Linked DNA regions of Caenorhabditis elegans. The protein of the gene in region 1 purifies or fractionates together with the protein of each later gene. This does not show direct contact. Each region holds a gene or a part of one and is shown on either strand. Other genes may lie near its edges.

Region 1 (5,265 bases):
TTACCAAAGTGTCCATCAGGGCAGCACACTGAAATTTTTTTATTTATTTTTTGCTATTAAAAGTTTGGAAAATATTATAAAATATTGCTTAAAGGCGCACGTTATTGTTTAGATGGGTCTCGCCGCGAAAAAATATAATTACGGTTTTTTAAAATTAAATCCGAAAATTAATTTTTTTGCATTAATTTTCGCTTAAAGAATTTCAATTTTCAATCACAAATTTCTAGTAAATCGAAAAATATTAATTTCTAGCTATTTTTAATCAGAAAATTGTGAAAAATCGTATTTTTTCTAATAAAACTACAAAATTTTCGCGCTTTTCACAGTAAAAATAGAAAAAAAACTCAATTTTTAGTATGAAATTTGCAAATCTTTGGCGATTTTCAACGGGAATAATAACATTTTTAAGTTTTCTGGCGGAAATTTGTTGAATTTTGCGATTTTTTTGCTTGAAAATTCGGTTTTTATTGAAAATTAGGCTCTCGAAAAATTTCAGACTGGAAATTCAATTTTTTATTGATTTTTCGGGGTATATTGTGAAGAATCTAGTTTTTAAAATGTTCGTTTTATTCGCGATTTTCATTTAGAAAATAGCGAAAAATTCAATTTTTGAGGCCGAAATTCGCGAATTTTCAATGGAAAATGCGTTTTCTTTCGATTTTCATACGTTTTTATAGTCAAATTTAAGAAATTTTTACATTTTAACTGCTCAACACAGAGCCAATTTGACATATTATTGTGTTGCTGGTTGTAGTAGAACTCTTCAATTGTTTCTTCATGCTTTTCAAGTTGAGTAGAGCACTGAAAATATAGAAATTACAGGGTTTTTATTAAAAATTTAATTTTTTGAATACTTTAAACTCGATTTCTGCGATTCCCATAAAATTGTCCATATTTGGGAGCGACGATTTCTTGCAAACACCTTCGAGAACTTCGATTAGCCGGGTTTCACTGAAAATTTTGATTTTTTTTTTAATTTAAAATATTTCCAGCGCCAAATTTCGAGAAACCAACCTAGTTTTGTACTTTCCCAGATTTTTCTCTTCCCAAGCTGTGTCTCCACCGGCAAAATGATGGCGAGCCGTTTTTTTGAGACCCTGAAATTCGGAATTTCTTTTTATTTTATATTTTTAAATTCATTTAAATATAAAAATAGAGCACAAACCTCATCAAATGTGCTCACTAGAAAATTACACGTCCTGCATTTTTCGTTTTTGATGGTGACTTCTTTTTGTGACGTGGCACCAATTAATACAGCAAGCAGGAGCAGTATCCGGCTCATTTTCACCCTGAAAAATGGAAAAAATTGGATTTTTATGTAGCTTTAAGACACGACAAACCGTTATTTTAGAGAAATTACACGCAGAATAAGCGAATGAGCGCGGCCGAATGCACTGCAAATTGTCTACGTTGTCCAGTTTCTCGGCCCTGTGAGCGGAGAAAAGAGAGGGAGAAAAGAAAAATGAACAAATATTGGCTTTGACCGGGATTACTAGCAAAAGAGGTGACTGATGGAAGAGGGAACAATTAAATATTAGAAAAATTCGAAAAAGTTAATTATTTTCGCTGGAAATCACCTTAATTTGGGGAGTTTCGAAAGAAATTTTGATAAAAATAGAATTATCCACTTTTTATTTCGTGAAAAAAACAACAATTTCGACTGAAAATCCAGCTTTAATTCGAGAAATAACAAATATTTATTTATTTAATTAAATTAAATTAAATTAAAGAAAATAATTGAATTACTGTAGTGATCGTTGCGGGACCCGATGAACCGAAATCGGTATGCGCCTTGTAGTTACGGTAAGAAAAACGGGCGGTGTCGAGAATTTAATTTAAATTGCATTTCCAAAACAATTTTCCTCGTTTGAAAATAAATTTTACGAGTTTTTGGTTAGTTTAAATGCTAAAAACTTGATTTAATTTAATAAAACGTACCTAAAAATTCAGTTTCGTAGCAGAAAACACGAAAATTTCAGTTTTTAGTAAAATTTTCGGAATTTCTATTTTCAAGTCTTGTTTATAGTTACTTTTTATGGTGTTCAATCAACTTTTTGAAGTTTAAAATGTTTAAAACGTTTAAAATTACTTTACAAGAACCGAAAAAAACCGAAAATATTTCAATTTTTAGTTTTTCAGCAACCTTTTCTTAAATCAGAAATAATTTTATGAAATTTTGGTTCAAATGTCCACTCGATGGAGATATTACAATTCAAAACGCGGGAATGGATTCCGCGGTCGAGGCAGAGGCCGAGGTCGCGGTACAAGCTTGACCGCCGTCGCCTTACCCCGTGATGATAATTTTCACAAGGGAGCTCAGGATGGCGCTTATTTCAAAGGTTAACTCTAGATTATTCCTATTTTCTTTAAATAATTTATTAAAATTGCAGACATGCCGATGGATCCGGAGCAATTTCGGGATGAAACGGTGCTCAGTCTTTCTTTTGCTCAAGGAATGCTCGGAGCTGCCTACTACGAGCAATCAAGCCAGTTGTTGAAGATCATGAACGATATTTCAGAAGATCTTGAATTTAGATTCTTGAAGAGATGTCAGTTTTAAATCCAAAAAGCTTGAAATTCAACTCATTTTTTTCAGTGATAGACGATGTGAAGCCGACGCTAATAATCGCAAATAGAAGCCAGGATCTCGAATTTATCAAATTTTTGACCACGCGGTGTATGAAAATCATTATAAAAATTGAAAAAAAAAGATTTTTTTAAAATTTTTTTCAGATGATCCACAGGAAAAAATCTATGAAGACGGGACTACAGAAGAAGGAACATCAGAGGATACGGTTCCGACATGGGATTCTTCGCTAGCTTATTCTACTGACGAGACAACGGCGGAAAAAGAAGAAAAAGAAGAAGACGAAGATGATGATGACGAAGGATTACCGGCGAAGCTTAATAAGCTCCCGAACAACTTTTTCAGTTGCTTAATAATCTCCAAACATTTTTGATTTTAAAAATAAATTTGCAGGAATGTCGCGAGCTATAGAAAGATTAAAGGCGATGGCCGGGTCCCATGACAGTTCGATGACGGAAGAGGACAAGTACATTATCATCAAGATGAGATTTGATATTGAAGCTGTTAATATGGTTAGCAGATCTCTGAGCCAAAAAAAAAATTATTTTCCATCTTCAGATAAGATCATTTGGAGCACTTCTTCTTTTCCTCGATGAAACTAGGATGGGCGTGACAGACGATCCTTTGTCAGTCACTTCACCTATCAAATCTATCAAGACATTTACATTGTAATTTTACTATTTTTTGTTTTTTATTTCCCTTTGAAACAAAAAAAATCATTTTCTTCTTTTTCAGAGGAAACCTGGTAGAAATCGATTTCAACACAATTCAGGCGCTGGATATTCTGCCAAAGGAAACCGAGAATAAGAAGACTTTCGGACAAGGTAGATCACTTTATCAGTTGATGGATAAATGTAGATCAACCGTTGGAAAAAAGTGCCTTCGAAAATGGTTTAGAAATCCGACTACGGATAGAGATGATCTTGTGTCAAGACAAAAATGTGTGCACTACTTCAAACAGGTGATAATCTTTAAAGTGGAGTACCGAAATCTATGGGAAATATTTTTAAATCACTCCAAATTTTCCCCTGATTCCGAATATCTAAGTGAAAAAATATTTTTAAAAAAGAGATCCCTGATTTTATATTTCAGCTTGAAATCGCGATTTTCAAACGCAGAATTTTCGCGCCAGAGACGGCATGTGTCGATTTACGAGATTTGTGTATATTTACGAGATTTTCAATCTTTATCAGATGCTGATTTTCATTTTTCAACGAGTTTCTTTCATTTTCGTCGGTTTTGCCAGGTTTTTTTTTAAAAGAAAATGTGTTTTTAAGGTAAATTAAACATTATATTATCGAAAAACTACAAAAGTTTCGATTTTCTGTCGGGAAAAGAAATTTTGATAGATTTTTGTTGATATAATGTTTAATTAACCCTAAAAAACGCATTTTCAAAAAAAACCTGGCAAAAACCGACGAAAATGAAGGAAACTCGTTGAAAAACGGAAATCAGTATCCGATAAAGTTTAAAAATCTCGTAAATCGACATGTGGGGCGTCTCAGGCACGAAAGTTCGGCGTTTGAAAAGTCTCATGGGGACGCAAATGAAAATCGCGATTTCAAGCTGAAATATAAAATCAGGGAAATTTTTTTTGAATTTTTTCACTTAGATATTCGGAATTATGAGAAAATTTAAAGTCATTTAAAAAAATATTTTTTGTATTTCGGTACTCCACCTTTAATAAATTATCTTTTCGTCAAATATATACATTTTTTTCTCAAATTTAGGACTGGAACGCCGAAGTGACCGCTAAGTTATCATCAATTCTTGGAAGAGTGAAGGCTCTGAACGTATTAAATAGCAATCAAGTTTAATTTAATTCATTTTTGGCCGATTTCAGAGTGTATTCCAAAAATTTCAAAGTGGAACAGCTCAGCTCATTCATTGGGAGTGCTTCGTATCGACAGTCAACGCGCTTGTTGAAATCTTGAATATTATCAGGCAGACACCGGTAAATTCAAATAATTAATTTTTATAAAAAAGCGAGGTTTCAAATAATTTTTATTCAGATTTCGAAGGAGTTTCCTGTAGAATCAGATCTTCTCCGAGAAGTCTCTGAAATTGCAGTCATCGCGGGCTCCATTGTATGTTGCCAAGTGTTTTCTAAAATACGGTACCTGGTCTCGACACGACAAGAGAAGAGTACTGTACTTTCAAACTTTGTTGTCGCTGGCATTTTCGTTAACAATCTCGTGTTTTAACTCTTTCGTTGAAGTTTTTTAATCGGAAAACTGTGAAAAATCGATGAAAATTCCAGAGCAAAAAAAGTTTGCGATTACAGTAGTCGAACCACATTTATCAAAACTTTGCCGTGCCGAGACCAGGAATAAGATTTAAATCAAACTTCAAAAATTTCAGATCAACTTCGCAGAGTCGAAGATTCAAGGAAGAGTGACAGTGATGAATGGAATCGATGAAGAATTGGATGAAAGTATTTTTTTTAATTGTTTTCAAGCCCTTATTTTATTATTTCTTCAGTACGCGACACATATGAGAACATGCCAATGGTGCTCACTGCAATTGCTAAACAGGAAGAAGCTCGACTTGGTCTACCACCGTACTCTAATGTGGCGTGTGTCTACATACCACTCGTCGGATTTGTTCTTTCAGTTCCAAGAGATTACGGTGTGGAATCACAGCCTGAGTAAGCAATTCAAATCAAAATGAAATCACGC
Region 2 (6,788 bases), on another chromosome or scaffold:
GTTGTAAACGATTTCTGAATTAATTCTTCATAATTTACCAGCATACATTTTTAAGATACAAGAAATTAAATATTGTTCCAACACTTTTTTTACAGGCGGTGATCCATTTTCTGATGCTGTCTGGCTTCCTGTACTCGATTTATGTTCTATCGAGTGTGAAATAACATCCGAATATTGTGTGGAAAATGAGGAACTTACACAACAATGCAAGAAATGTATGTTTTCGATGTTTAGAAGAAAGCTTGAGTTTTAAAAAATCTTTTTTCAGTACCGGAAGATTGCCAGGCTCTTCTCCGAAAAGCAATCAAACAAATTCAGAGACATATTCGATCACAAAAGCCAGTTTACCTTTAGATAATTTCTATCTCACTAATTTTTGTAAATTTGAACAATAAAGACTCTTGAATATTACCTTTTTACTCATCAATCTGAATTGTCCTTTTCCACGTGTAGCGGTCTCCATTCGATTCAAAACTTCTTTAGTAAATACTACAACAATTGATTTCACATCGCCTCCAAAATCAAAGAATTGAGTGACAATCGTGAGAATTCTATCGAAAACTTTCGTCTCGTTGCTTGAAAGGGCCCATGGCTCGAGAACTTCTGAAAATGAGAATTTATAAAAAAAACTTTTCAAAAGTATAACTTACTCAGGTACATTTTATCAAAACCAGATGATTCAACTGATGCTTTGATGAGAAGTGGAAGAAATACTTGAACTGTGGCGAAGTCACAGCGCTGAAAATAAAGTATTTATAAAAATTTTAAAATAGAAAACTAACCTTTAAAGCAGCCAAAATTTTAGGATACTGATCATCAGAAAATTGAATAGATCCGTCTTTCTTTACAAACTTTGCGTATTTTGCAACCACTGTTGAATGAGAATTACGAAGGCGAAGTGCCAGGTAGACATTTTCCGGTGTGAACTGAGAGCTGAGACCTTCCAAATTCATTTCGATGGCTGGGGATACACTCTGAAATTTAAAAATTAATATAGATTTGTTTTTGTTCAAACAGTAAATTGATTTACCTTTTGGAAAACACTTTCTTTTGTCTTTGTAGCCAAACTGCATAGAAGGTTAATCTGTGAAAATGCCAAGCTTGGAGCAAAGTCTCTGATTTTCTTCGAATGCTCAACAATTTTTGTAGCTTCTGCTTCTTTGAGTTTTCTGGTTTGACAATATGTGACAAGAATAAGATAATGTCCAATTGCATGTCCGGTACCAACAGTCTGAATCGAAACATTTAGTACAAATAAAGGAACTTACAATCCCAACCTTTTCTGCCAGGTCCATCTTTTTATCTGCAACGGCCAATATTTTGTCGAGTTCCCATGATTCGCCTGCTTTTGTCATTAAAATAGTACCCAAAGCGGTTGTATATCCCAAACGAACAGCAGCACGAGCTGAAGCACATCCAGAAATAAGACGTTCAATCACATATGTGTTGAGCTCGTTATCGGATAATTCCTAAAAAAATAACACTTTAATTAGGCATTTATTTCAGCTACTTTTTTCCTACCTCTTGTTTGCTTGAAAGCTGTCTAACTGCTCCTTTTCTGACTAATGGATCGAGCTCAGCAAGCTTTGAAATAATATCGAGTAATTCACTTGGCGGTCTCATGCTTAAAACTTAAAATTATAATTAAAAAGAGAATAAATTGACGAGAGGATCATTCTCGTGAATTTTCCAGACCAAGTAAACTGTATTTTTCTATAAAACACAAAAAATAAATGTAATTTTAGTTTAATGAAAGAAAAAGAAATAGAAGTAAAATATTTTGTTCGTAAAATAAAATGTATTCTGTGCGCACGCACCACACCTGACGCGCAAACAAACAAGTGCGATTTTCGAATTTTATTCTTTTCCTGTTTGATTTAATTATTGTTTCAGCGTCAAATAATGTTTGAAAACACTAAAAAAGCATTGGAAACGTTTCGAACAGCTATCGAGTGTGTTAAATGGTAAGTTGTTGTACAAGATTTTGCCTCTTAAATAAAATTTCAGCAAAAAACCGAGGGGAGACTTGCAATATCTCGGATCATCTTGCAAACATGCTTATTGCTGGTAGGTATTGCAACCTAATAAATTGTCAATAACTTCAGTTTATGTTCAGGGAATGTATCGCCACATTTCAACAGAAACCGTCTGGAAAACGCTCTTCAGTGGCTCGACACATGTGTCCGAGTTGTGCTTTCCCACTAGACACATCCAAAATCACAGAAGCTCATATGCTGAAAACGTGCTTTGATACTTTGTCTGAACTAAACGACCTTTTACAGAAAGTAAGTCAATGGTGAAAAGCTCGAAAATTAAATTCTCATTTAGGTCGGAACAACATCTCTAACTCAAGCAGAGTTTGCCTGTACACAAAACATTTTTAACAAAGAAAAAACTCCAGCTGATGCCGTAGAGAAATTCCTGGAGACGCAAGCTCATATGCCAGACGAGATGGGACAACTTGGTGAAGAGGATGATGATTTGATGTGTAAAGATGAAAACCGGTAAGTCGAAAAAATCTGCGTTCGGGGGGAATCGAACCCCCGTCGAATGCTTGGAAGGCATCCATGCTGACCATTACACCACGAACGCGACATATCGGGGATATCTTTCCGAGAAAACGATTCCCGTCATGCTTCTTCTACAAACCTGATGCGGTCTATTTGGTGGCTTCAAGTAGAAATGTCTCTTCATTTAATAGCTGGTTTCCCATGCCGCGTTCGTGGTGTAATGGTCAGCATGGATGCCTTCCAAGCATTCGACGGGGGTTCGATTCCCCCCGAACGCAGAACTTTTTTTCATATTTTCCCAGTAAATTCAGGGAAAATTCAAACTCTCCAGAATTGGATATATTCCACGACTACAGCAAAGAAGCTTCTCCGTGAGTTTGTTACATTGCTTCAATTAATTGAATTTTATTTACTTTTAGAACGCGTAATTCGACAAAACGCCCTTCAACTGTCAGTGTTCATGAGAGAAAACCCAAAAGGTCATCGATACTGAAAACTTCCGTCAAAAATGAACCGGCTGCGCCTGTAGTTGATCTTTTTGCATCGCAAGTTCCGCAGAGAACTCATCAAAATGATTTACTGACGCCGTTTATTGAGGTATGACAATTTCACTTTAAAGACGCTTCAGAACTTTAACGGAAATTCTTCAGCGTCGCTCAACTGCTCCAGCAGCAACTGGTGTTGCAACGTATGCTCAAGCTTTCGGAAGTAGCAGTAATCCAGTTAAAGCCGAAATTATCGAAGAAGATATTTTCTCGAAAGCGATTCCTCTCACAAAACGGCAAGCTTCAATGAGTGCGAGCGCCAAGAAACAACCAAAATTGGAACCTGAAGAACCAGAAGAAGTACCATCGACGTCTAGAAGTCGTAAAAATTCGATTAAATCCGATAAAATCGAACGACGATCTCAATCACCGATGAGTTTTGGAGAGAAGTCGATGAGTGTGAAATCAGAGCAAGTGAGTGACTTCAATAAAAGAGTTTTCGGGCGTTCGTCTTTCTACTCTGTCACGCTCAACGTCCACATTATCTTGTTGTCTGCGCCTCTGTCCCTTACTTAACAAGTCTTTGCATCACAGCACGCATGGCCTCCTTAGCTCAGTTGGTAGAGCGTGAGACTTTTAATCTTAAGGTCAGGGGTTCGAGTCCCCTAGGTGGCTTGACTTTTTTTTTTGAAAATTGAACTTGATCTCTACGCCTTCATTCCAATTTTCACATTTTCGCAAACTTTTTGCAATTTTTTAAATGTTCAGCGTCGCAGTTCTTATGGTACTCGTCGTGGTGAAGCTGTCCTGGTCAATTCAATTCGCAATAATCGTATTCCTCAACTTCGAAGTGCTGTAGAGGCAGGAACGTGCGTAAATGAGAAAGAAGACGGAAAGACACCACTTTACGTGGCAGTTGAGAATAGCTCATTGGAAGCTGTTAAGATACTTGTTGAAGCGGGTGCAGTTATTAATGCTTCATGTAAGAAACAACTTCTATCAACTTTCTTGACGAAGAATTCAGGCGGCTCAACATTAGAAACAACGCTTCACGAGGCTGTTCGCCGTCAAAATACTCAAATTGTTGAATATCTTTTATCGAAAGGTGCCAGCATCAAAATTCGAAATATTGCTGGAAAAACTGTCGAAGAAATGGCTAAAAGTGATCCGAAAATTAGGAAAATAATCGAAAAATTCAAGACTGAACAGAGAGTTTTACAGCCTGGTAAGAAATTTTTTGACAATTTTATTCTTCGTGATAAAAATTGAATTTTCAGTCGTCGCCCCTCCAAAATCTCGTCTTCATTTCGTTCAACTCATAGATGAGAAGATGCTCACTGAATCTGAAAAACGAAAACTTCCCGGAAAAATCAATGTAAAAACAATTAATTTTTAAAAATAAAATAAATTTATTCAGATAGTTCCTGCTGATATGGATTCTCCGACGCATGTGGTAGTCACCGTTGATTTGAAAACTCGTGTGCTCAATATTAACAAGGAGCATATTGGAGAAATTTTAAAAGCTATCATAAAGTAGGTTTTTAAAATTATCCTAAAAAGTGGGAGATAGTCATTTTGGGATTTTTAATGTCAGAAAATAGACCGTAATGACAGACTATAGCTGTTAAGAAATTAATTTTTTCGAAATTTTTCAAAAAATGGGCTACTTATTTTTAAATTCTCGCGCAAATAAATGGAAGGCATTTGTTCGTAAGAAAACGCATGATAATCAGAAAGAAATTCGCTGAAACTTCAAAATTGAATTGAAAGTCGATAATTTCACATTTATTCATCTTTTTTTTTGCTTAAAAAATTTATGAAAATCTGACAATCTTCGGAACATCAAGCAAAAATCACGAAAAGCGTTCGAATTTAGCCATTCATTTGCACGAGAGTTCAAAACTAATCAGAACTTATTATTTTTCCAAAGCTGAAATAATTTTTTAACAGTTATATTCGGTAATTATGGTCTATTTTCTATCATTCCTTCAAATCAGGTCGCAATGCATTACATATTTATTGGAGATAAAAAGATAATTAGGCACGAACACAGGCTCCTGCCACACATTTTTTTCCAACTGGACAGTCAAAAGTACAAGGTTCATCAGCATTTTCGTCAGTGATAACAACTCCACCACTTGCATGATTTGAAAAAAGACATTGTCCATAAACACAAAGCCTATTATCCGAGCAATCCGAATCAGTTCGACATTCTGCTTTCTTTGCATTAACATAAATTGAAAGAAGAAGAAGAAGGAAACACTGCAAAATTAGTTTTGAATATTAGCAAAAGTAGTATATAACTCACCAGAAACACCTTCATTTCAGTTTCACAGTGGCTCGATTGTATTATAAAATGCGTTTCCCTGTCTAGTTATAGACTGATCCCATGGGAAAATTGCAAACAATCGCAAGGGTGCAGTATGAGAGCCAAAAAAATCTATGTGAAAATATGAAATTTCAAAGCGGAAATTCATACTTTCAGATCGGGAATGATAGTTAGTCGAGATTGGCTGAGAGCGTGCATTATTGATCCATCGAAAGTCGATGATGATCGTTCTTATATGGTTCAGAAAGTTAGATGGATGGAAGGTGAAGTATTTGAAAATACTATTGAACAATGGAAGAAGACAATCACTAAAATGGTACGGATTTGATTTCCACTAAAGAAAAAAATACAACCAAATTTTTCAGCAACCAAAATTGTTCGCCGGTTGCAAATTTTTCATTCCAAAGCCAAAGTATAACTTCCTCGGTACGATTCTAATTTACAGTATTTTAATTTTTTCAATTTTCAATTTCAGATCGCCCAGCTCTTTTTGAAATTATTCGATCTGCCGGTGGTCAAGCTGCAGCGAGGGAGCCCATTATTGACGAAAAAGATCCACCGCCGTACCATAATGCCAACTTGAAACCAAACTTTGTGCTCTACAGCTTGACACATGATGTAAGTTTAACGAAGGAGTTTTCCTGTTATTATGGATTCGGTAGTTTCAGTTTGGTGACATTTTTATTTCTCTTTACAGATAGGAGACAAATTCCGCGACTGCACAAAGTACAATCTTGTCAGCGAGCAGTGGTTAATAGAGGCGATTCTTGGATGCTCCATCACAACACCACCACATTAACCATTTTCCGTTTTAAAATATTTTCTTTTGCGTTTCTATTGTAAAATTGCAATATGAATGATTATTTTTTGAAGTGTTATTTTATACACAACGGCATCCAATCCATGCAATTAAAGTTATGATGTAATTAAAATCGAGAACAAGATATAAATATAAGTTATGAGATCATATTAATTAAAAACAATTTACCGGCTTAAAACAAGAAAATTACAATTGAGTTATACAATTTACAATGATACAATTTACATTAAGAAGAATCTACACCATTCGTTTCCTGTACCTTTAATTTTCTTTTTTGATATTTGTTAACGGCAGTGACTGGACGAGTCTCATTATATTTCCGTTGATAAATAAAACAAGCATTACATTGAATTCCTTCCTTTGATCGAATATTCCTCCAACGAATTGTTTCAGTTACTGAACAATTTGAGCATTGAAATGACTTCTTATTATCAGAATTGCTCGGTGGAGTTGAACTTTGAGTAGAGGTAGATGGAGATGTAGATGGAGTAGAAAAATGAGTAAACGTGGTGAAATGGGAAGAATTAGGACTTCCAGTAGTTGGTGAAATATTTAAAGATGAAGAATCCATTGCAGTTGGATAATAAGAAGCATAAGTATTGACATAGTCATAGTAGTTATTATAATAAGAATAGTCAGTAGTG

The links.
Region 2: the proteins of msh-5 (region 1) and brd-1 purify together in Caenorhabditis elegans (affinity purification with western blotting, with the first as the bait; one study listed by BioGRID). This does not show direct contact.

Annotation. Positions count from the first base shown.
Region 1 is NC_003282.8:13,153,048-13,158,312, forward strand, and holds the start of msh-5 (MutS protein homolog 5), read left to right. Parts: upstream 1-2,185; coding exon 2,186-2,339; intron 2,340-2,390; coding exon 2,391-2,549; intron 2,550-2,596; coding exon 2,597-2,677; intron 2,678-2,733; coding exon 2,734-2,931; intron 2,932-2,980; coding exon 2,981-3,099; intron 3,100-3,145; coding exon 3,146-3,255; intron 3,256-3,322; coding exon 3,323-3,548; intron 3,549-4,317; coding exon 4,318-4,380; intron 4,381-4,430; coding exon 4,431-4,541; intron 4,542-4,599; coding exon 4,600-4,674; intron 4,675-4,948; coding exon 4,949-5,021; intron 5,022-5,068; coding exon 5,069-5,234; intron 5,235-5,265. Other genes in the region: Protein disulfide isomerase crld-1, read right to left, coding at 1-28, 699-801, 855-951, 1,015-1,097, 1,166-1,282. UniProt on the Caenorhabditis elegans protein: Crucial component in meiotic recombination, functioning at some point after the initiation step of recombination. Plays a role in promoting the crossover outcome of meiotic recombination events.
Region 2 is NC_003281.10:6,884,610-6,891,397, reverse strand, and holds brd-1 (BRCA1-associated RING domain protein 1), read left to right. Parts: upstream 1-1,893; 5' UTR 1,894-1,902; coding exon 1,903-1,964; intron 1,965-2,007; coding exon 2,008-2,067; intron 2,068-2,116; coding exon 2,117-2,285; intron 2,286-2,328; coding exon 2,329-2,504; intron 2,505-2,512; exon of another isoform or gene 2,513-2,595; intron 2,596-2,716; exon of another isoform or gene 2,717-2,807; intron 2,808-2,821; coding exon 2,822-2,881; intron 2,882-2,929; coding exon 2,930-3,107; intron 3,108-3,160; coding exon 3,161-3,469; intron 3,470-3,594; exon of another isoform or gene 3,595-3,682; intron 3,683-3,763; coding exon 3,764-3,977; intron 3,978-4,019; coding exon 4,020-4,220; intron 4,221-4,272; coding exon 4,273-4,370; intron 4,371-4,412; coding exon 4,413-4,528; intron 4,529-5,480; coding exon 5,481-5,640; intron 5,641-5,689; coding exon 5,690-5,750; intron 5,751-5,799; coding exon 5,800-5,942; intron 5,943-6,021; coding exon 6,022-6,123; 3' UTR 6,124-6,191; downstream 6,192-6,788. Other genes in the region: K04C2.5 (INSulin related), read left to right, coding at 96-215, 269-354; K04C2.2 (DNA polymerase V), read right to left, coding at 413-603, 651-738, 783-974, 1,031-1,231, 1,278-1,469, 1,522-1,623; med-2 (GATA-type domain-containing protein), read right to left, coding at 6,371-6,788. UniProt on the Caenorhabditis elegans protein: Constituent of the CeBCD complex that possesses E3 ubiquitin-protein ligase activity.